4 linked regions of the Oryzias latipes genome follow. The protein of the gene in region 1 interacts with the protein of each later gene in a pairwise test. Links are inferred from orthologs where the notes say so. Each region holds a gene or a part of one and is shown in the gene's direction. Other genes may lie near its edges.

Region 1 (5,945 bases):
GATAAAGTTAACTCTCAGATTACTTATCAATCCTAATCCACAACAAGAGAGGCTCTAATTCAGTCCGTCGGTTTCTGCAGGAATTCTCCCTTTTTTCCTGGCGATTTCTACACGGATGAGCAGTACGTGCAGAAAATAGTGATCCACCCCATCGGACTGTAGGCTGCACTGACGAGAGGCGTACGTTAGAAAACGATCTGATTATAATATAAGGAGCAGGTATACCTAAAACATTGAAAGTATTATATCCTTTCTGATGGCTAAAATAATTTCAAAATAAAGTACATGTAAAGATGCTCTCATTTAAAAAAAAAAAAGCCTTTAATTTTCTGTTCTGCTTTTGTTCATTTCAAATCTAATTTAGTGTTAACTTTGTTTACTAAACATACAACCAAGTTAGTCTTAATAGTTAGTTTTTAGATGAAACTGGAATTTCAAGTTTTAATCTGAGAAATCAAGATGTACATCCAAGAATGTGTTTGCAGAGTTTGCTGGATTTTGCTGGAAGATGAAACAGTTGGAGGCAGATAAATGCGTTTGTGACCATCTGTGGTGCTCGGTTCCCACTTCTTCTGGGAGTTATGCAACCACCACTGGTGTTTGAGGAACTGTGGAGGAATGAACGCTGCAGACAAAACTGCGGTCCCCACCACGATGCGTTTGAGGTCTTTTCGTTGGTTGGAAGGGTCTGTTTTGGAAATATTTGTGAAAATGCGTTTTCCTCAGAAAGTATGCATAAATATTCTTTTCTTTTTTTTATCCGCCTGGTGGAACGTACGCAGCATGCGGGGAATGAACAAAGCAAAGCAACAGGAGAAGCTGAAAGAGAATTTCTGCATGAAGGACCATCTGAAGCTTTTCAAAGCACAGATGCTTTTGTTGTCTGAGCCAAAGATGAGACTTTTTTTTTTTCATATATCAAAAAACGAGAAGAAGAAAAAGGAAACCTGTCAAACCTTAGAGGCAGTTTCAGCTGTTGATTTACAGAGGATTAGACCTGCTTTTTTTTACTTTTCCGTTCTCTTCACCTTGATTTTTAATCATTTTTCTAAGAGTAAACAGTGGAGCTGATCCAAACCAGGGGGGCCATTAAAGGGAGGAGGGAGAGATGCTGTGTGGAGGCCATCGCCATGGCAGCAGCTGAATTAATGAGAGTTTCAGGGCGGGGTTAAGTGAATCACAGTGCATTATGTCTTCTTGCGTGCCATGATGAGATGACAAGCAGCACAGGGAGCTGAATAAGGAAGTGTTTATAAGCTGGGGTTGCGGGGGAACTAATGTCCTGAACTCCATGCAGGAAGGCGACCATCATGCTTTCTGTGGGAGGGATGCTTTTCTTACCTTCAGCCGCTCAGAAACGCCTTCAATGATGCTGATGGAGAACTCTGCAATTTTAGGAGACCGCAGCTTCCCCTTCTTGCTCTCAGCATCATAGTCTGCCTTTGTCTTCACCACCACCTGGGTGAAAATGAGCAACCGGGATTAGCAGCTTGCAGTGTTGGCCGTTATTCTCCTATTTATTGTCATGATTTACACATAAAAGGGATGATTGTTGTCGGTTATAATGCCGAGCCTGCCTTGTCAGGTGGAGGGAACTGCAGCTGACTGGCATCCAGCGGTGTGATTAGAGGAATGGTGTCAAATCCGTCCTCCGAGACCACCTTCACGTTGTTTTTCTCGGTGAAATTATTCCCCAGTTTGACCATTTTCCCTGCAAGGAAGGTTTCATCCATCATCACGTTTTTACGCATACCTACCAAAGCATCGCTGGCGCGCAGTTCTGCTTTTGTTCACCCGATAAACATCGGAAATGAAGCGCAAAAAAAGACGCGCAGCGCGCGGCCTGGAAACGCGCAAAGTTTCTACGTTTGCTTTTTTTTTTTCCCCATTACCGCAAACGAGCAGGACGGTGTGGATGAAAATGACTTACCAGCTCGGCCGAGTCTCGGTTTAAACAGCTTTCCTCCTCACGTTGGTGAGCGCGCGGGGTTTGTGTAACGCAGCCGATATGCGGGGAAGCTGCTGCACAATATGGCCAGCCGGCTTTGTGCGTCGCGCTGTCCCCCAAACTGGATGCTGCTGCTGGCGTCTGGCTGCACTGCAAGTGATGTAACGTCCTCACCACATCCCTACATTCGTGCGCGAGCAGGCACGCGCGCGCGCCGCTGGGGTCCTGCAGCCTGCGTGGGGAGCAGCAATCACTGCAAAAGCTCATTAAGACTCATGAGAAGGAGTTTGACTCTTGTAGGTAAATGAGCAACATGATTATTTGATAAACAGTGGAAGAAAAAAAGTATTTGACTCCTTTCTGATTTTGTAGGTTTGGCCACTAAAAAAAGAAATGGCTATATATTGGGAACATATCGAGAGGAAATCTGGTCCAGTTTTCTTTACAAATGACTTCTAAATCCTTTAGATGTGGTGGCTGTTGCTTGGTAACTCTGAGCTTCAGCTCCCTCCATAGGTTTTCTACAGGATTGAGGTCCAGAGACTGGCTGGGCCGCCCCATGACCTTGATCTGCTTCTTCTTCAGCCATTCATTGGTTCCATTGGACCGTACCACGACCAATTTGAAGCCTCCCTGTGGAGGGAAGGAGGTCGTCACTAAGGATTTGACGGTACATGGCTCCTCCCATTTGCCCATCCACATGGCGAAGTAGCACTGCAGGAAAACATCACCAAACCATCATGTTTCCACCTCCATGCTTGACAGTGGGGACGGTTTTCTTGGGTCATAGGCAGCATTTCTCTTCCTCCAAACACAACGGGTTGAGTTGATTCCAAAGACCTCCATGTTGGGCTCCTCTGACTACCTTCTCCCAATCACCCTCTAAGTCATGAAGGTGTTCATTGATAAACTTGGCACATTTCTTAAGCAGACTTTGTGTAAAGCCTTACCTCTCTTCAGGTGACAGGTTGGTTAGGAGAGTCTGTGTGAACCACAACTCTTGTAGGGGATCAAAACGCATTTCCCTCAATGAAAAGAAAATCAATGTATGTAAATTCTTTTACGTGGAGTTTTAAATTTTCTTTGTTTCCCTGCTCAAATGGACCTACCATCCATTACGATGACAGACGGTCCATTTCTTTTTGGGTGGGCAAACCTACAAAGTCAACAAGGGATCAAAGACTCATTGCATTCCTCTGTACGTTTATCTTCATATTTGACATTTCTCATATAGAAGCTGCACAGTTTTGTGGTGGGAAACAGTTTCTCCTCTCAGTGACGAGGTTCTGGTTCTGTGTGAAGCCTGCATGTGCATCCATCCAAGTTCATGCTTTGTCGGTGACCAGCAACCTGTTCAGTGTGCAGCCCACCTTCCCCCGACCTTTGTGACCTAGAAGATGAATGGATTACAAAACAAGGAAATCCTTTCTGTCTCCATCCTGTACTCTGCTTTATGGTTTTATAAAAGCTGAATGTTCATAATGTTCTTTTAATGGATAAAAAGAGGCCAGAAAATCTCTGTTGATGCGACTTTGAAGAAATTAAACACGCCGTGTCCTTTGATTTGACAAATTCTTCTTTTTTTCTGGTAGTTTTCCACAACAGAAGAAACAAAAAGAGGTCATTTTTATTTTTATTTTTCCCTTTGTTGTCATCTTAATTCAACAGTACCTAAAGAGCCGCCTTGGCGTTCTGTGGATGCTCGTCCTACAGGAACAGAGACTCTCTGGTTTTCCAGGAATTGTTGAACCGAAATGTGCCGCTGCATAAAATCCAAACACTTGTTGCCAGGATATGGGGTGGGGGGGTTGCATAATGAAACAACAAATCAGTCTAGAATACGTTTTAAGAAAAGGAGAAGTAACGAATGAAAAGAGATGTGATCCATCATTAAAAAAAAAACAGGATTTTTATGGATTTTCCACTATCCTCTCATCACAATTAACATTATCTTTCATTTATGATTCATTTCTAATCAATAAATGAATTAATATCCCTCTAATAAAGGGTTAGACGCATATCCTGAAGATCCAGCGAAACATCTGCTCTAAGAAAACACAAAAAATGTTTAGACCCAAAAGGGAATCATTGAGGACAAAGGAAGAAGGAAGGTGGCTTTACCGTTAAAAAATATAAGTAATTTGTATCATAACATGGTGAAATTAAGGAAATTTTCAAACAAGCTTGGCTCTCAAATTTTTTTTTAACTTAAATTTTGACTTGTTTTTTTAAACAAGATATAACACAAATGCACATAAAATAAAATAAATCAGTCTTACAAAAAGAGAAGAGTGAAAAAATAAGTAAATGAAAAGAAAAAAGCTTTGCTCTCAAATTTTAAGATATTTTATTTTCTACTTTAGTTTATAAATTATGATGGCATATTTAAATAAAAAGTTACATTTGATACATTAATTTCTAATTTCTTTTAGCATAAACTCCAGTTATTTTGACGTGAAACTATACTTATAACCGTCGGCTTTTCACCAATCCACAAAAATCTTCTGATTTTATTCTAGTGAAGAACAAAAAATCTGTTTGAGTAAAAGTAGTTGTAGAGTTAGAGAAGTTCATTCTTCTCTAAGTGTTCTTGTCCATCGCCTGTCCGTCCTGCTTTTTGTTTGTTTTTTAGGAGTTTTTTCCTTACCGAGAAGGAGGGTCTAACAGTTTAGCTTACGTTGTTTAATTTAGCAATCAGCTATTGTATTTTTTAACTGATTTATGTTATTGTATAACTAGTCAAGCCCATTGAGACCAATGTAATGTAATATTAGGATTCAAAAATGACACTAAATTGGGTTTTCTGTTCTATCATGCAGTTTGTATCTTAAACCGAAAAAAGGAAATACAAAATGTAAATAAAAATACAAAAAAAAGATCTGTGACATATTAAAAAAAATAAAAATGTTTTGCTTTTTGTCTTGAAGATGTTGCTCAATAAATGGTTGTTAATCTAATGGCAACATATGATTTTGTCTTTCATTGGAGGATGTTAAACCAAACATGTCCTGGCATCTTTATGGTGACATCTGCTGGTTTCAGTGTAAAGCTTTAAATGACTTGCATAGATAAAGCTACAGGGAAATCTCCTTTCATCTGTGCCTTTGAGAACATGGAAGCAGTTTAGCCTGGGGGAAAAAACGGAAGCTCATTCCTGATCCACAGCCTGGACGGGCGGCTCTGATCAGAATAATGATAATTAAATGATCATTTCCACCAACCCTTTATGTTTGTGTTTTTATCACATTTACTTTTTGGGTAAATCCATTTTCTAATTTTAAAGACAATTTTTACAAGAGCAAATATTTACATTATTTGTATTCTACATTTTTATTTTAAATTTCCAATTTTTTTGGTGTCTAGCTTAAAAATGAGGTATATCTAAAAAAAAAAAAAAGATCATTTTTAAAGTTAGAAAAGATTGTAAAGTTATTTTTGATAACATTTGTAAATTTTATTGCTCAATGGTGACATAAATATTTAATAAAGTCTGTTTTTTTGTCTGCAGAGGCTCTGGGACCGCTGTGCCTTTAACAGCCCCTCTGTTCACGGATCCCTGCCCAGAAAGTTTATTTCCCACTTCCCATTCAGCCACATGGACCGGCGCCGTCACGCAGAGAGTGCAGACTCTTCCCTTCAGCAGCGGCGGCAGCGGCAGCGGCAGCAGCAGCAGGTCCTCTGTCTTCCAGAAGGAATCCTGATCCTCGGAGAGGTGAGGTAGGACTGATGCTCAGAGTGGGACGGCTCCCGAACCAGGGTTTGGGCTTTTTCGATGGACTCCGGTCCATGAGGGCGCTGACTGTGCTGGTTTAAAGGCTCTGCTGTCAGACAGGAACTATTGTGTTTTCCAAACAAAGCTCCTATTCATAAAAGTGTTGTCAGACCAGCAGCGTGTGGAGGGGAAAAACACAAGCGCAGAGCTGCACAGAAGGATGTTCGAAGTCGTGAACTTCCTGCCTCCTTGTTAAGTTTCTGGGAGGAGGAGGTCACAGCAGGG
Region 2 (5,785 bases), on another chromosome or scaffold:
GCTTTGCCTCCAAACATGTAGAGGGCGCCGTTTAGTTCGGTGGCAACCAGATCATACCTTGGAGAGAATTTTAGAATGAAAATGTCACTCTTCCCGCTTGTATTGTAATCACTCTTTAAAAACCCACTCAGAGGAAAATCGTGTTTTTGGTGTTTTTTACATGTTTTTTGACATGTTTTCTGAACAAGGAGGACATATATTAGGAACATTAAGCTCAAAATTGCATTTCTGCGTTTTTCATTGTTGGAAAACTGGTGCAGATGAAAAAATTTTGGGAAAAAGATTGTATTTTTTACGTAGAAATAAAAATGGGTGTGGCAGAAGCTCCCTGCTCCACTTGTAGAAGACTAAATCCACGTACGTCTTTGTTTTCCTCGTCAGAGCTGGCTTCGGATGGATAACTCCAATATGGCTCGCCATTTTTGTTGCACTGGTAATATTAGGTTGGGGGTGTGAAGGGCATATGGCTATTGAGAGAGCATGTAAACAGAGAGCTCTCAGCAATGGGGAGGGAAAATGGTGGCGGGGTTGCTCTGCGCCAACAGTCCCTCCCACAACTCAGAGGTGAATTTCTAATGAACTGCTTCCCCACAGAAACTAAGAAATGGTTATTTTGGCTAAAAACTACATAATCATGATTAAAAACCACTGGAAAAACTTTTAAAACAGATCAAAAGATGATTGGAGTGGGTCTTTAAATAAAAAGGTAAAAAACAAGTACAAGTAAGAACAACATGCATTTTCTACTTACCTTGGAAATGGAGAAAAGGAGACCACGTCCCACTGATCTTCCTTCACCAAATATCTCTGAATTCCTGCATACACCTCCCCATTTTCATCCAGGCCACACGCTACATAGATGCACAACCCCACAGCTACAGTGGCTGCCCGCTCCACTGCCCTGACCATAGGGCTCAACCCCTGCCAGCCATCTTCTGATCCAAAAACCAACCCCTCAACATCACCCACGAGGCCTTCATCCATGCAGCCTCCCAGGACATACAGAGAGGAGTCCAGCCCCATGGAGCAGTGGCTGTGTCTGGATTTCTGCAGGGCCGGCCCATCCACCCAGCGCTGATTTGAACATTCGTATATCTTCACCCAGTCCACACTGAACCACAGCACATCTCTGAAGTGGCCTCCAGTCACAACCACGTTGTTTCCTAAATGGAAAATACACCTTAAATTTACATTTATTTTATACATTTATAATGTAATATAATTTATACATTTATTTCACATTTGAGATTTCAAGAAAAGCATTCTCTTTAATCTTAATTGGATATTACCTACTGCAGCTACTGAGTACTGAGTTAGATTCTTCTGCTGCAAAGGTGCACAGCACTGCCATCTACCGCTCAGAGGGTGGAACTGATACAGTGCCTGCTGTTCCTGATCATGAGGCCCTCCCAGGACATAGAGAGTCTCTGTAGCTTTGGTCCGCCTCAAAGACCTGCCTACTGACCAAGAGGCTGGGAAGTGATCATTCAGCTTGCTGATGAGCCTTGCTCGAGGGTCAGAACCTTTCATTCTGGTCAGAAGTTGGGTAATAAATGCTAAGGAGAGAGACTCTGGTCTCACCAGCTCTATTAGCTCTAAAAAATGTTCTTCTCGTTTAGGATCAAACGAAACCCAGCGCAGGGTGGCTTCAAGCGCCACATCGTCTTTGTGGAGAGCCAGATCATCACTGGCAAGTAGATCAGCAATACTTTCCTTGGAAAGGGACAGAAAATCCTCTTCAGCTGAGACCGCAGGGAAGTGTGTGAGCACAACCTGCCGGGCTGCAGAATAAAGCTGAGAGCAGCCCAGTTGCCATGCATAGGCCATCATTCCTAAACAATTCGTGAGGTGTAGCTCGCGCTCCAAGAACTTGCAACACAGCAGTCTGGCTTTTTCTAGTTGTAGATAGTTTGCAGTCTCAAGAATCCCAAGAACATTTTCATGGTCCAAAGTCAGACGGCGAGTCTTGCTGTACTCTATCAAAACTTTGAAAGACTGTCGACCCACACCTTTGATCTCAACAAGCTTTTTGCGGCTTTCCACACCACAGCCAAAGAACAGAGCTCTGAAGTATGGACTCTGAAGGGCCAGGTGCTCCCGACAGACGTAAAAGTTCTCCTCCTCTACCCGTAGGACAGCATCTGGAATAAAATCCGGCCCAGGGTCTTCCACATGAAAAGCATATCCATCTTCGTCCATTGTGTTATCTAACTCATGGAAAAGATTGATTGAAGCTCTGAAACTTCACTTCAGTCACTGTAAAGAGTAAAACAAGTCTACTGCTTTGTCCTGTTTCTGGATCACAACTACGGTAGGTTCCCAACACACCAGCTGGTGTGTACTTTGTTTATTAATAGACGCCCCTGCCCGGAGAATGCAGTTAAGAAAGAGGTCAACTTTGAAAAGTAAAAGTTTTTTTAAAAATTACTATTAAAATACAATTATTTAGTAAAACTAAAGCTAAGAACATTTTTTTATTTTATTTTTTGAGTGCAAATAACTTCAGATGACGTCAGATGCGAGTTTACGGCGATGTGATTGGTGCTATTAAATTGTATCTGGGGTCAAAGTTTAACTTCCGGGTCACACTTCAAACATGGCGGTGAGTGCGAAATAATTTCGTTTAATTTTCTCTCTTATTGTTCACCGAACATTTTCTATTTGGTGTTAGTCAGTAATAGAATACTTGAGGAAATGAGAATAACATTTCTGAAGTAACGGCCGTTTTATTTGTGAAATTGTTACTGCCTTAGTCAGTGATGCTAAGCTAATGCTAGGCTAAGGGTCTGCGCCTTAAACTGTGCATTAATCTTGGAAACTGACATTTCTTTACAGGATAAAGAAAAGAAAAAGAAGGAGAGCATCTTTGACTTGTCCAAATACATCGACAAGCCAATTCGTGTGAAGTTTCAAGGAGGACGGGAGGGTAGGTGGCTTGTCGAAAGATTGTAACTTGTGGTGACCAGAATATTCACAGTGATGTCAGAATATAATTATTTACTTTGTTTATTCCCTCTTTAGCCAGCGGAGTTCTAAAAGGGTTCGATCCTCTATTGAACCTGGTGTTGGACGGTACAATTGAGTACATGCGTGGTAAGTGAAAACTCACGTGTACCCACTTTTCTTAATGGAGAACTAATAATTAAGTAGTTAGGAGTTATTTAGTCCATGGTTTACTGATACTGTTATGTGGACTCAGGCTGTGAGGTTCAAACTTTCTAATTCTTTTTCATTTCCAAAAATACTGTAACTCTTCTTTCAGTTAGAATATCAGCTTCACTCTTCAAACTGTTTTTTTAAGTAAATCAATTGTATTGATCTCCATTTAAAAAATGTAATATTTACTCATCAAAGCCGCAAGATTTTCTTTTTTTTTTTTAAACGATTTTCTCGTGCCTTCTCAGACAGGAGAAGCCAATCTGTTCGCCTTTATAATATTTACAATTTTTTGTATTTAAAGTTCTATTTTTCTTCAATTTATGAAAGTGACTATTCCCACATAATTTTCTAAATACGTAGAGCCGGTGCAGAACTTCTTTCTTGGCCTCACAGACCTGGAGGAATGGTTAGGGTTGGGTAAAACCACTAATGACTCTGATAAATGCATCTTTGCTGAACTTAATACGTGAATTTCCATCTGTTCTTGTGCAGTTTTTACTCGTAAATAAGTGTGAAAAACATCAGCGTTAATTTAATTCATCAGTTCTACAAAAGTGTGTATTTCTTAAAAACTAAAGCTTTAATAAAAATTGAAAAAAGTTAAATTGGAAATTAAAATGAGACTGAACTTTTTCAATAAACATTGATTTATTGTGCTGTAGTCTAAGACAGGTATTTTAGGACTTAATGTTTTGTTTTTAATCAAACTTTGAACTGCGTTTTCTAATCACAATTCCCCATCTTGAAAAAATGTCCTGTTTGTCATCATGAATGCATCATGTCTGCATCATGTCTCTAAAGATTCATAAAGAAGGTTATTCATATTTTTCAGAAAAACCATCAACAAGATGGACTTTTGTTTTCCAAATACATAACATGACCTCATTATTTCTTACTATGATGAGCATTCATGATGAAGACACATTAAAGTCGAGAGAAAATTAACACTAGCCCACTCTCTAATGCCGGATTAACAATGATTAATAAAGTAAACACATTTTAAACGTATATATAATTTGGCTGCATTAAAATGTCACAAAGAGCAGTTGGAGCTACTTTGATCGCCATGGCGAAAAACTGTTTTTTGTAAGAATGTTTTTTCTTCTAATTCTCCTTTCTAAATATTGTAACTTTTCTTTCAGTAAGAATTTCACCTTCACTCTTCAAACTAAGTAAATTAATTGTATTGATCTCCAGTTAAAAACTATAATAATAATTCATCAAACTCGCGTTTAATAACGATTAAAAACTTGGCGTGTTTTTCCGTAAACCAAAGTTTTTATCTCCCATTTGCATAGGTTCTAATAGGTCATTATCATATTCTGAAGCATTTCCTTAACATTAAGAGTCCACTAGCTAGAAAAAAATGTTTTTGTGTTTGAACTAATAACTCTTTGCATTGTAATATTGTTTTCCTCTAGTATCGGATCAACTGTGGACTCTTGTTCTGTTAAGCATTTGTCACATTTACTGACGGCAATAAAAATCTCTTTAAATGTACAAAAACTGCAACATAAAGATGAACATCCTCTGGCATTTACAATCCCTTTGTGTGTCTGTGTGCAGATCCAGACGACCAGCTGAAGCTGACAGAAGACACCAGGCAGCTGGGGCTGGTGGTCTGCAGAGGAACCTCCGTCGTCCTGATCTGTCCTCAGGACGGCATGGAGGCCATACCCAACCCCTTCATACAGCAGCAAGACGGCTAAATCGCCCATGAAGTGTTAGACCTTTGTTTTGTTTCTATTTTTGTTGTTTTTGTTTTAACCAACCTAATGGAAGAAAGCTGGAGAATCAGCAGTAAAAATGACTTTTGAATGCACTTCCCTTTTGTTTGTGGTGTCCAGACGTTGGAACCTCTGTTCTAAAGAGCTCATGTGCTACGGAAGTGCAAACCTTTTCATTTTTATGCAGGAACAACGTGAGCTTTTTACTGTTTGTTTTTGATAAGAAAAATAAAAGGAAAACCTATGCTGGAGTTTGTTTTTATCTTTGGGTGCAGTCGCTCCTTGCAGTGATCTGAGCTGGATCACATCTTCCTTTTCACACCCTGAGTGAGCTTTTGTCAGTTTGAAGGGAGTTTTTGTGTTTGGAATGGGAAAGCTTAGGCACACAGGGAGAAATCTGCGGCATTAACGACTTTAAATTAGAAATGCTGTAAGCAGAGTGGGGATACTGTGCTTAACACCCATGTTTACATTGTTTTTCTAAATGATGGAGAATTTTTGCAATAATAAGTTAAAATAAATCAAATTCTGCAGAAAAAAATGTGGCGTTTAATGTCTAGTTTTCATGGATAAATTGTACCTTAGTTTTATTGTGGGTTTTGGGACCCTGATGGAAGAACTCGGCGGATCCTCCTAGAGCTCTTTAAGATCTTTGGTCAGGTGAGGCACTCACCTGTTTACCTGGAGCTCCTGGACACACTGAGGTGTGGCCAACGGGATCCCAGCGGATGGAGCTGGGAGGAGACGGGGATTCCTGCAGCTCAAGCTGCCGTTTCTGAGTCAACAACACCGAGTGACTGAGTTCGGGAGAGGCTCGGCACGCCCCGGATCAGGTGGAGCATATAGCGGACCCGCCGGCCCGTCTCCTCGCGGAGGTTCGGCTGAGAGGAGCGCGCGCC
Region 3 (5,149 bases), on another chromosome or scaffold:
CATAGCGCCGTAAGAGCATCATAAAACGCTCTCGACTTCCTTCTATGTTTTCATTCTATACTGACACGTGTTTGTCTGCAGTCATGCTGGCTACACCTACTGTGGTGCTTGTGCAGCACATGCCTACAAGCAGGTTGATCCCTCTATTACGTAAGTGGCGTAGCTTTGTGCACCAATTCTTCATCTTTCCGTGTTTTTGCAGACTCCATTGCATTCGTCCTCCACGGAGCATGTGCTCATGTAGACTGCAGCGAGGGTGGAGGGGCTTTTTTGTCTGAAATGAGTGAGATTGATTGCTGGTTCTTTCAGTCGTAGGGTGTTCATCCTGGGACCTTCACACCATGTGCCGCTCTCCCGCTGTGCCCTGTCACCTGCAGACATCTATAGAACTCCTCTGTATGACCTGAGGATCGACCAGAAGGGTATTTACTCCTCTATGACTCCATTTTTGTAGCATTTTAGTGAGAAAAGAATCCACAATTCGTATGGTATTCCATCATTTTTAATGGTATTCATTTTCTATAACAAAATGTGTTTGTGACTTTCCTGAATAAACTTGTTTTTCTTTTTTCTCTGGTATTAATTATCACAGTTTCTAAGTTAAATAAGTAAACATTAAGAATGATTTACTGACTGCTTTGTTTTCTCTCTTAGTTTATGCGGACCTCTGGAAAACTGGACTGTTTGAAAGAATAAGTATGCAGATCGACGAAGATGAGCACAGTATTGAAATGCATTTGCCTTACACTGCTAAAGCCATGGAGAGGTAATGTCCACCCAGAAAACAAATAAAAACCCTTTTTTTATTTGAAATAAAGGAATATTGATCATGATTTATATCTGATACAATATGAGATAAAGCTGAAACTCTAAAATAGAATAATCACAATTTTTAAAAACTTCATTAAAACATCCCTGTGTAGTAAAATATAACAAACATTAATGATAATATATCACAACTTAATGTAAATACAGCCATTTTGTTTACAACAGGCCAATATTTTTGATCAAATGAATTATTTTTATCTTTTTTTGTTGACCTTTTTCAGATGAATACAAACAGAGTGCCCTGTTTTTTTTTATTTGCGTTTTTTTTTTCTTCTTTCTTTCTCTTTCGGCTTTTCCCATCAGGGGTCGCCACAGCGAATCATCGTTTTCCACCTCACTCTATCATGAACATCTTCTACCCTAACGTTAGCCAACTTCATGTCCTCTGTTAAGACATCCATATATCTCCTCTTTGGCCGTCCTCTCGCCCTCCGGCCAGGCAGCTCCATCTCCAACATCCTTCTACCAATATATCCACTATCCCTCCTCTGAACATGTCCAAACCATCTCAGTCTGGCTTCTCTGACTTTGTCGCTAACACAGGCAACATGAGCCGTCCCTCTGATGTACTCGTTCCTTATCCTGTCTAACCTGGTCACTCCTAAGGAGAACCTCAACATCTTCATCTCTGCTACCTCCATCTCAGCCTCTTGTCTCTGTCTCACTGCTACCGTCTCTAACCCATAGCGTTTTTTTTTTCTTAATCTACCTTATATCTTCTCTTCTGAACACATTTTCTCTGTCTTTTTAACTTTACAATAACATTTTCACTCATTTCTCTCATCTTTAAAGTCACAAAGTTCAAACTTTCAATGAAAAGTAATTTTTTTGTTTTATAGATTTAAAACAAAGATCTGATCGCGATAGAGAATGTTTTAAACTCTGGTTAACTGAAAACCGTCTGTACAGGAGAAACGGCTCAGAGGAGATCGACACAATTTACAGCCAATCAGGCTGCAGAACACAGCGAGGCGTAAAAGAGAAAAATAAATAGTAAAATTTTTGCCACCACATTACGAACAAAAATCGCACTTTTGAAATCAAAGCGTCCTCAATTGCAAACAAAATGCTCAGTTTTAGAAACAGAACTTTCAATGTTGCAAATAGAAATACTAAATGTTTGCTTTCAAAATACATTCTTGCGACATAAAAGTTTTCTGATGTCTTGTCACTCGTCTCACTTTTTCTCCATCGTTGATTTTGTTTTTGATACGTTTCAGTTTGACAAAAAAAGAAACATTAAAAGTGAAAAATGCCATTTATTCTGCTGAATACATTAAGTCTACTTTGGTGAGCCATCATTCCTTTCTTTACTTACTACTGCTGCTAATCGAATCTAAAACACTTTTGTGCAGCATAAGATAACATGTGCTGTAAATGTTTTACTTTTTAATTTTTATAACAAACAGATCTTAAGGAAAATCCAACTTCTTAGCAATATTTTGCTCAGGGGGATTTCTCCATCACACCGGCCTGTTTAGCGTCATGTCAGCAGATAAACTTTGAAGTTTTTTACGGTTTCAGGAGATTTTCAACCATAAATTCATACCACATAAAATCTAATCAATACTAAAAGAAAGTATGAATTATTTTAAAAATAATTCAAAATTTTTCTGCAAAAAGATGCCGAATTTAAGATATTTGGTTCAGCTTCTGAGACACCACGATAGATCAATGGAGCGATTTGATTGGATGGAATCTAGACAAATCAGCATGAACCCTCTTGTTTGTGATTGGCTGTTTGGTGGCAGAATTGTCACAGATATCAAAGATGGGGGGGCAAGCGAGATGAGCGACAATGCATCAGAAAACTTTAGTGTCGCAAAAACACATTTTGGAAACAATATTTGAAAGTTTTGTTTTTAGAAAACTTAATATTTTGTTTTCAGTTTAGGAAATTTCTATCTAAAAACTATGTTTTTTTGTTGGCAATGTGGTGGCAGAAATATCACTTGATAAACGGGAAAAGTGGGCGGCGGGAGCATGTGTTGATGCTGGAGTCTGCACGCTATTCCACTGAACATAAACACATCGATCGGCACTGAGATTGTTTTCTACTGGGGAGTGAAACCTCAGCATAAAAGGTGATGTGATGTTGCAGCCACAAAGACGAGTTCAGCATCGTTCCTGTGCTCGTGGGCGCTCTCAGCGAGTCCAAAGAACAGGAGTACGGGAAGCTGCTCAGCAAGTACCTGGCAGACCCCACCAACCTCTTCATCATCTCATCGGACTTCTGCCACTGGGGTACAGACGTTCAGCGTTGGGAGGGAAAGCTGTGTTTGTGATCATGACGCCTGAGCTTGGGCTTGTGCTGCCGTGTTTCTTTGAAGGTCAGCGGTTCCGCTACACGTACTACGATGAATCTCAAGGGGAGATCTACAGGTCCATCGAGAACCTGGATAAGATGGTAAATCCACCAAGACGCCGCCTCACTTTGGATTTACACACACATGGCTGTAGAGGTTAAAAGGACGGTGGTCTTTTTCTGCTACAGACAGCGTTTGGACCAGCACACGTGTAGCGTGATCGGTTTTATTGTCATTTGGATTTATGTTTTATTTTCAATCAACTTTATTTTTATACCAATATTCATGTCTCAAATGCTCCAATAAAATGTATTCAAACAACAAACAGAACAGAAAAAATAAGAATGAAAAGTGATGTATGGAAATGCTGAGACACATATTTAATATGATTTAAGTCAAAACAAAACTATTTTTTATAATTTAGCATGAAAATATATCCCACCGTTAAAATAACATTTGAAATAAACTGTAAGAGTATTTAAAATAAGTCTGTTGTAAACAATCACATGTTCAAATAATAAATAATTATTTTATTCATGAGAATAGACCCCAAAGATTGTTGATAATGATAATAATAATAAAAGGATTCTGTGCTTTTATTTCATAAAACATACTCCATCTTCTTTTTCAACAATACCGATAAAAACATTAAAAAATGGATATTAAAAGTAAGGGTTGGAAGTCTGTTATATAAGGAAAACTTCATAAAGTAATTTTCTTTAATTGCGCCATAATGCCAGGATTTAAAATAAAAGGATCTCAAAATGAGGCTTTTTACAGCAATTATCAGGTTAAAAATAATTCCAATAGAAAATAAATTAGTTTAATCGATTACAGGTGACGATTCATTAACGGCCTGGCAGCACTAATTATGACTGAACTGTGGAAAAATAGGTTTAACAGTTAGCAATGTTCTTTTCTTTAAATCTTTTCAGAAATTTCAAATGAAAGCGACGGAGCTTTGATCACAAAGAACAGTTGTGTTCAACTTAGGAGTTTAGTTTACCGCACTAAAGATCACGCGAAAAGTTATTCTGTGCCAGTTACAGCGAATTGAGCTCATTTATTGCTATGATCAATATGGGTTCCATTGTTCTTATTGTTGAGTTTCTTCTCTGCTTTTATTGTTTAGGGGATGAGCATTATAGAGCAGTTGGATCCCATGTCTTTCACCAACTACCTAAAGAAGTACCGGAACACCATCTGCGGGCGTCACCCCATCGGAGTCCTGCTAAACGTAAGTGGCAGGAAGGCGGAGTTTCTAAAGTCGCGACAAATCTCACCCCAACCCGCTCTAGTGTGAACAGGAGGAGGACTGGAATTCTGTGTCTCAATTAAAAACAAACCTGTTCATCGCACGGCTACGGTGGCCCTGAAGCTCAAATCACAAAAGCAAATCCCTCACACTAAAGATCAGAGTGACAATTAAAAAAAAAAAAGAAATAAACAAAATTACGTTTTAGAAATGAAAACAAAAATTCTCAAACTTTTCAGGAAACAAAAGTGATCTCCAGAAATCCAAACATGGTGAAAATAAAACAGAATAAGAAAGCGGAAAAAGGAGGTATTATGGGAAATCGCTGGTTGGACGATGAGTTTTGAGGAAGACTAGGATATTGTTCTCTTGTGAAGTTGTCTAATGGCCCAGGTCTCCCTTAAAAAAGAGATCTTGTGGGATTTCCTGATGAAATAAAGGTTAAATAAAAGAATAAAATATGTCAAACTTCTTGTTGAAAGGTGAAAAAAACGCCATCATCTAATCAGCGACGTGCCACAGTGCCCACCCTTTCCAGTCTCTGATTTTGTCTCGTTTCGATTTTTGGAAAATCCTTTTATTTGTATTTTACAATTTACTTTCTAAAATATAATCTTTCATTATCTGCTTTGCTGTTTTAATTGTCATCATGATTTTGCTTGTTTTTGTGATTTGTTGGTGTGGTTTGGACTTCAGGGCCACCGCAGATGGATGCCGCTCTTAGACTCTCTCGTCATGTTTCCTGTGTTTTGACCGGGGG
Region 4 (5,692 bases), on another chromosome or scaffold:
TCTGGACTAACTGGACCGGGTTTGGACAGCCAGTCCGTTCCACTCTTGGTGTGAATCGCTGTGAACAACCTGCGTCACGTACTATTCGGCGAAGTATCGGATCAGTCCGAACTGGGTGTACTCCTCTTTGTGTTCCAGCAGCTGGTTTACGGCATCACCCAGGTAGAAAAGGACGTGACTTTCCGCTTGAGAAAGAAAAAACAGACACGTAAATATGAAGAAACCAGAACTGGACCGAACCGAGATCCAGAAGAGAGGGTACCTACAACCAGCACTAACTTACCGAGATACTCCTCTACCGGAACGGCGGCGCTTAGGCGGCTCATTTTGTTTGTTCAGTCGGAAAACCTGCTCAGATCGTCCTAAACAACCCCGAAGAACACGAACCCGAACTCCGTTTATCGAATCTGTTTAGTAAATATCGGCTCCATGGACCTAACATCGTCTTGTCTGACGGGATGGTCCGTGCAAGGGAAAAGGCGGATGTTGTGAGCTACATTAATTCGAGTCCCCCTCGAGCGCGCAACAAAGGTTCCCCCTAACATTACAAATGAAAAATCGCTTTTAGAAGCAATAACTACAGAAATGAACGAATCAATCAACAATATTGATATAATTGAGGGACCAAACAACAACGAAACATAAACTAACACAAATCTGGATAAAAACAGACACAGTCATTAGTCCCACTTCAGACTGCAGAGTCTGTCAGTCACATCATAGTTTACGGTACACACGCCCAGCGAGCTGAAAAGACGATATAAAGCGCTAATATCACCCATGTCACAGGAACCCATTATCAAATAACATGTACTGTGCTCTGAAATAAACGAGAGCTATTGCAAGCCCTATATTGTTATTTGATGTACAAATGTATTCATTTGGATTGCATGTCTGTTCATTCCACAATAAACTACCGGAAATAACGTGTTTTGTCTGAAATATAATCAATCAGACAGATTCTAAAAGTGAGATTTAACACTGACAAGAGTGTTTTGTGGGTTGTTGAGCATGACATGGAATGGAATCAAACAGCAATGAAGAAACTCCACGTAAAAGGGCACATCTGGTCATGGCAACTCTTTCTAAGTTGCTTCATTTAAGCTGACGCAAAATTTTCACTGGATTATTGTTGGTAATGTTGTTCGTGATCATCTCTACAGGTTTGAAGAAAATTGACTGGAGAAAATGAGAGAAATTGACATTATAGTCTAATTTAGGCTCCCTCACACATAGTCATAGTATAACATGTGAACCATCCAAAACACCACTTTTTTAAAAGGTGATGTAAAACTTTCACTGGATAATTGTTGGTAATGATGTTCATGATAATCATAGATGGACCTATGAGACCTAACAGAGAGGGAATTTAAAATTGTTGAATTAGTGTGATTGATTTGAAGGAAAGATTGGAGAATGGTTTTTATAATGTTGGTATATTGTCTCCCATCATGTAAGTTAAACCTATATAAATATGCCTTCACTCATCCAGTTTTTTTAAAATAAAGATTTATTTCAGCATAAGACATATTGTGATTTCCATTTGGGAGTGTTATATGGGTCTGAAATAATGTTTATATGCGGAAAATGTATATGGTAGAGTAAAAAAAATGTGTTTTTTTCAAATTGGTTTGTTTACCCACAGCCAATAGGAAAGACATGTGTGTGAAAGGAACGTATGAAATTATCCAATAGCACACAAACTGACAGAAATCTGGGCGGATTTAATGTTCAAACAGTTTTTATCCATTGGGTGTTATCTTATTTTTGTCCAATCAGCATAGGGCTATCAATATTGGGGGTTGTCCCTATTTCAAATTCAACCAATCAGCTGCATCGTCACTAAACACTCAAGGAAGCCAGTTGGACCAAATGTACACGCGTCAAATGTTAACTAAAAGGTATTGATCCGATGTTTAAAAGTCTTTGTTTGCACTTCGTGCTTTTGTTTGAATGTATAAGTTTCGAGGTTTGATGTACTTAGGGTGGTGTCCCGAGTCTCCGCCTTCCTCTGTCTCTCCACCCTTGTAATTTAAAAAGAATAGTCAAGTTTGATGTGTGTTTGCAACGGAGGGCCGGAAGTTGATTTTAGAACGAAAATTAGTCAATCAAACCTTCGCTTATAATTGGAACTATTTGAGTAATTTTATATTTTTGTATTTTCTACTGTCAAGTGTCTCTAAATACATATCATACCAATTTGAAATTTGCCGAAATGCTTTATGGAAGGAGGCTCAGTAAAGGGGACTCTTTTAATTTGTACAGGAAGTGGAAAGTTGCTAACATCCGCAAACTGCTTGTATAAAACTCGACCGAGCTCTGTGGTGATCTCATTGTCTGTCATTTTACTGAGTTGCCATCATCTTATAGTCCCCAGGAGGCGCACACAGGTATGTCGTTGATTTTAGTTTATTTTGGGGCGCTAACCAAATGTCGAATTACATTTAGGAGCCGTATCGTGGTGCTGTGTGTGTTGTTGGTCTGTCGGCGAGAACTGCGTTGTTAGGCCTGTCTGGTGGCAGGGGTGAACGGTTAGCCCGTAGCCCTGTTCCTAAGCAACTAACGGCGGCTACAGAGAGCGATGGAGCATCGTTAGTTCAGCAGAATTGGACTTTAATCTTACGTTTCTTGGAAAATGCACGTACAGTTTATAAAGACTGTTAAAAATTTAACCCTGGGAGGTTTTATCAATTTTAGGAGGCTACCTTACCTTAGCCAGTAGCCACTGTGTTTGCTGAGGTTAATGGCGCTCGTTTTTGACTGGTAACGATTGCTAGTTTAAGATGCTGACCACTCCTATATATCAGGTTGTTGATTTTTAGGGACACATTCCTTGACTGGCTTTTTGTGGGGGGTTTGACTAGTTGCTGGTTGCACGAAGACGACCATTGTCTTGGTGGAGACTAAAATGCAACGATGATGATATCGCGTTGTTTCTCTGTGAGGTTGGATGGATGCTGGATGGATCTCTGGCGCTCGTGCCTGACATCTGTACTTATCAAAATAAAGGCTGCATAGACTGTCATGATGATATTATGTTCTACAGAACCGTGTGAAGATCTTGACCTTATCTGGTGTTTATATCTAGTTTTTCCCCCTTGCCGTACCACATTATTAGTCACTAATAAACTGAACCATAATAGGAATGCCCTTTTAATTGATGTTGCTGTTTCAGTAATAGTTGGAGATTTGGTAAGTGGAAGTTCCTGCCCAAAAGTATTGGTGTTTCAATTATTGACACAAACATCAGCTCTTTATAGGCTTCTGCTGCTTTTTAACCTGGAAAAATGGCCGGTTCCCTGCAAGTCCCATTGGTGTTGAAGCTTGTCCTGCTTTTGTCCTTTTTCAGCAAATGCAGTGTTTCTGTGACATAATGTATAGATAAAATGAGGAGCAAACAGTAAGTTTTGTGAGGATCATTAACATGAATGGCCTACCCCCCCCCCCATTTAAATTCTAGAATTTTAATTCAATAAAAATTGGGTTGCATGAATGTGATCGAAATTATAATTAACATTTTAAAGTCCCACTTTAACCATCTTTTGATCTATTTTAAAATTGTTCCCAGGGGTCGTTGTTATTATGACTATTCTGTTTTTTTTTTAAAGCCAAAATAAAAAAAAACCTGTCATTTTTTTTTTTTTTTTTGGACGTGGATTCTGCAGAGCAGCAGTTGTTCATTAGAAATTTGCCTCCAAGTTGTGGATTGGACTGTTTGCATGGAGTAAGCTCGCCCCTGCTTCCTGACATCCCTCTGTTGCTCTGCCGGTAGCTCACAGCCCTTTACAACCCCACCCTTACATTACCGGTGCAACAAAAATGGCAAGCATGCACTTTTATTTTGACACGCTAAACATTGTACATCGCACAGGTGTCATCATCCTCTCCCCTTCCCACACTCGTGGTGCTAAAAAGAAGTAAACACAACAGGAAGAATTAACTAAGGGTGAAACAACGTAACTGCCAGATGAAGGGACCCGTAGGCAAAAAGAAACACCCGTGCTCAACCCTATTTTGACCAAAGCAGGCCTAGGGGATTCATTTAATTCCCTGCGATGCAAGCTCCTACAGTAACCCCTGCGGAACTCCGACAGCAGACCAAACGTGCACGTGACCGACACTACAGTACAACAAAATAATATGACTTTCATGAAAACTGGTATTTTCTAAACATAACAATAAACAATAATTATGACATGAGCAACGTCCTCTCTGCCCGCCACACTCCCTGATCGCTATTATTATAACATTTAAACATGCCTTTAAAATAAGTGCATGGAAAATCCAAATCACCACAATGCTGAATGGTTCAAGGGAATCTCCCGTTGGGATAAAACCGTATTTTAAGTAGGACTCCTGATGCTGTCTATTAAATGTATTTTTTGGAAGTCGAAGGCTCCTCTTCTGTCTCCTGGTTGGGCCTTTTCCACTTGGCAAAGAAACTTTCCAAAGACGTTTGTTTTTTATTCATTTTGCCAGTTCCTGGGTTTTATTTTAGCAGTATCCTATCTCCTGACTGAGACGAGCGAATTGGCCTGCGTCAAGAGTAACATAGACGGATGTAACAAAGAATCGGGCAATTTTTCAAAATAAAAAATCTTTCAGATTCCGAAACAAATAAAACGGAAGTCGTGTAAGTTATCTTATTTTTTCTGCGCGGCCCGGTACCAAATAACCCACGGACCGGTACTGGTCCGCGGCCCGGGGGTTGGGGACCACTGCCCTACGTCACTGCTACAAGCTTTTTCCAGCAGTATCTTTTTTTGTCTGCTCCTAATTCAAAACATTTAGAAAGATTAAATTCTCAAACACACCTAAAAACCTTAATTTGTCTTTAAAAATGTCCTTCAATTATGATTAAAAAAAAAGCCTCAAAAACATGTTGAACATGTTGAAAACACCAAAAATATGATTTTTAATGGAGTGTGTCTTTAACCAATCGAGGACATCATTATGTAACATAATGATGCACAATTTTCAGATATTTTTGTATTTTTAATTTTTTTAAACAGTTTTTAATGTTGAATGATGACATTTGGAGAGAAAGGAACCATATTGTCAACATGCACGTTCCCTGGAGTTGAGTCTGTTTTTACAGCTGTATAAATGAAAGCAGGGATGCCCCTGGCATTTTACCAGAGACTCACAAATGCCACAGATAAAACAACCATTCTCATTGGCGTTTAGGCTTCTAAATATTGTTTTGGTCGGGTTTGAGTTTTGGTAGCATAACTCTGTTGCTGTTTTTCCTCTTTATTTATTTAATTTTTTTTAACTCCCATGTTGGACTGGGTCCAACCCATCAGAATGTTTTCATGGACTGAATCAATGTGAAAGATGAACCCACATCCCTTCCCTTAATGTGCATTAAGTCATGATTGCTTCAAACGGAAGTGAGACGGCGTGTTTCACACTGATGGTTATTGCTTTTCTGGGGAGTTTAGTGAAGGTGAAATCCATTTTGACGGAACTTTAACTTTCTATTGTTTTTAGCTGAAAGTGTTTTTTTTTTTTTTGTATGCGTTTTGAAATAATTTGTGTATTTTTTATTTATTTTTTTCCAGTTGAGTACCTTTTGGGGAAGCCCAGTCCCCCAACAGACACAATGGCTGACGATAGCGAGTGGATGAAGCTTCCTGTCGACCAGAAATGTGAACATAAGGTGAACAAGTCACTTTTAAAAACTCATTTT

The links.
Region 2: the proteins of transforming acidic coiled-coil-containing protein 1-like (region 1) and lsm7 interact in binary tests that used the Homo sapiens proteins (3 or more experiments, as listed by UniProt). The link is inferred for Oryzias latipes from reciprocal best matches to the Homo sapiens genes TACC1 and LSM7.
Region 3: the proteins of transforming acidic coiled-coil-containing protein 1-like (region 1) and memo1 interact in binary tests that used the Homo sapiens proteins (3 or more experiments, as listed by UniProt). The two-hybrid records come from large-scale screens. The link is inferred for Oryzias latipes from reciprocal best matches to the Homo sapiens genes TACC1 and MEMO1.
Region 4: the proteins of transforming acidic coiled-coil-containing protein 1-like (region 1) and ckap5 interact in binary tests that used the Homo sapiens proteins (3 or more experiments, as listed by UniProt). The link is inferred for Oryzias latipes from reciprocal best matches to the Homo sapiens genes TACC1 and CKAP5.

The regions. Positions count from the first base shown.
Region 1 is NC_019863.2:30,784,685-30,790,629, forward strand, and holds the start of transforming acidic coiled-coil-containing protein 1-like, read left to right. Parts: upstream 1-2,278; 5' UTR 2,279-2,396; coding exon 2,397-2,618; intron 2,619-5,456; coding exon 5,457-5,665; intron 5,666-5,945. Other genes in the region: nsg1 (neuronal vesicle trafficking-associated protein 1), read right to left, coding at 1,342-1,458, 1,578-1,706. UniProt on the Homo sapiens protein: Involved in transcription regulation induced by nuclear receptors, including in T3 thyroid hormone and all-trans retinoic acid pathways. Might promote the nuclear localization of the receptors.
Region 2 is NC_019862.2:8,272,187-8,277,971, reverse strand, and holds lsm7 (U6 snRNA-associated Sm-like protein LSm7), read left to right. Parts: upstream 1-2,489; 5' UTR 2,490-2,596; coding exon 2,597-2,602; intron 2,603-2,835; coding exon 2,836-2,926; intron 2,927-3,021; coding exon 3,022-3,093; intron 3,094-4,725; coding exon 4,726-4,868; 3' UTR 4,869-5,137; downstream 5,138-5,785. Other genes in the region: kelch-like protein 24, read right to left, coding at 1-57, 752-1,163, 1,290-2,199. UniProt on the Homo sapiens protein: Plays a role in pre-mRNA splicing as component of the U4/U6-U5 tri-snRNP complex that is involved in spliceosome assembly, and as component of the precatalytic spliceosome (spliceosome B complex).
Region 3 is NC_019873.2:27,903,171-27,908,319, reverse strand, and holds part of memo1 (protein MEMO1), read left to right. Parts: coding exon 1-9; intron 10-81; coding exon 82-150; intron 151-309; coding exon 310-422; intron 423-654; coding exon 655-766; intron 767-2,929; coding exon 2,930-3,072; intron 3,073-3,158; coding exon 3,159-3,235; intron 3,236-4,266; coding exon 4,267-4,371; intron 4,372-5,149. UniProt on the Homo sapiens protein: May control cell migration by relaying extracellular chemotactic signals to the microtubule cytoskeleton. Mediator of ERBB2 signaling.
Region 4 is NC_019864.2:27,049,439-27,055,130, forward strand, and holds the start of ckap5 (cytoskeleton-associated protein 5), read left to right. Parts: upstream 1-1,823; 5' UTR 1,824-1,901; intron 1,902-2,261; exon of another isoform or gene 2,262-2,390; intron 2,391-5,564; 5' UTR 5,565-5,605; coding exon 5,606-5,662; intron 5,663-5,692. Other genes in the region: c6h11orf49 (UPF0705 protein C11orf49 homolog), read right to left, coding at 83-185, 284-326. UniProt on the Homo sapiens protein: Binds to the plus end of microtubules and regulates microtubule dynamics and microtubule organization. Acts as a processive microtubule polymerase. Promotes cytoplasmic microtubule nucleation and elongation. Plays a major role in organizing spindle poles.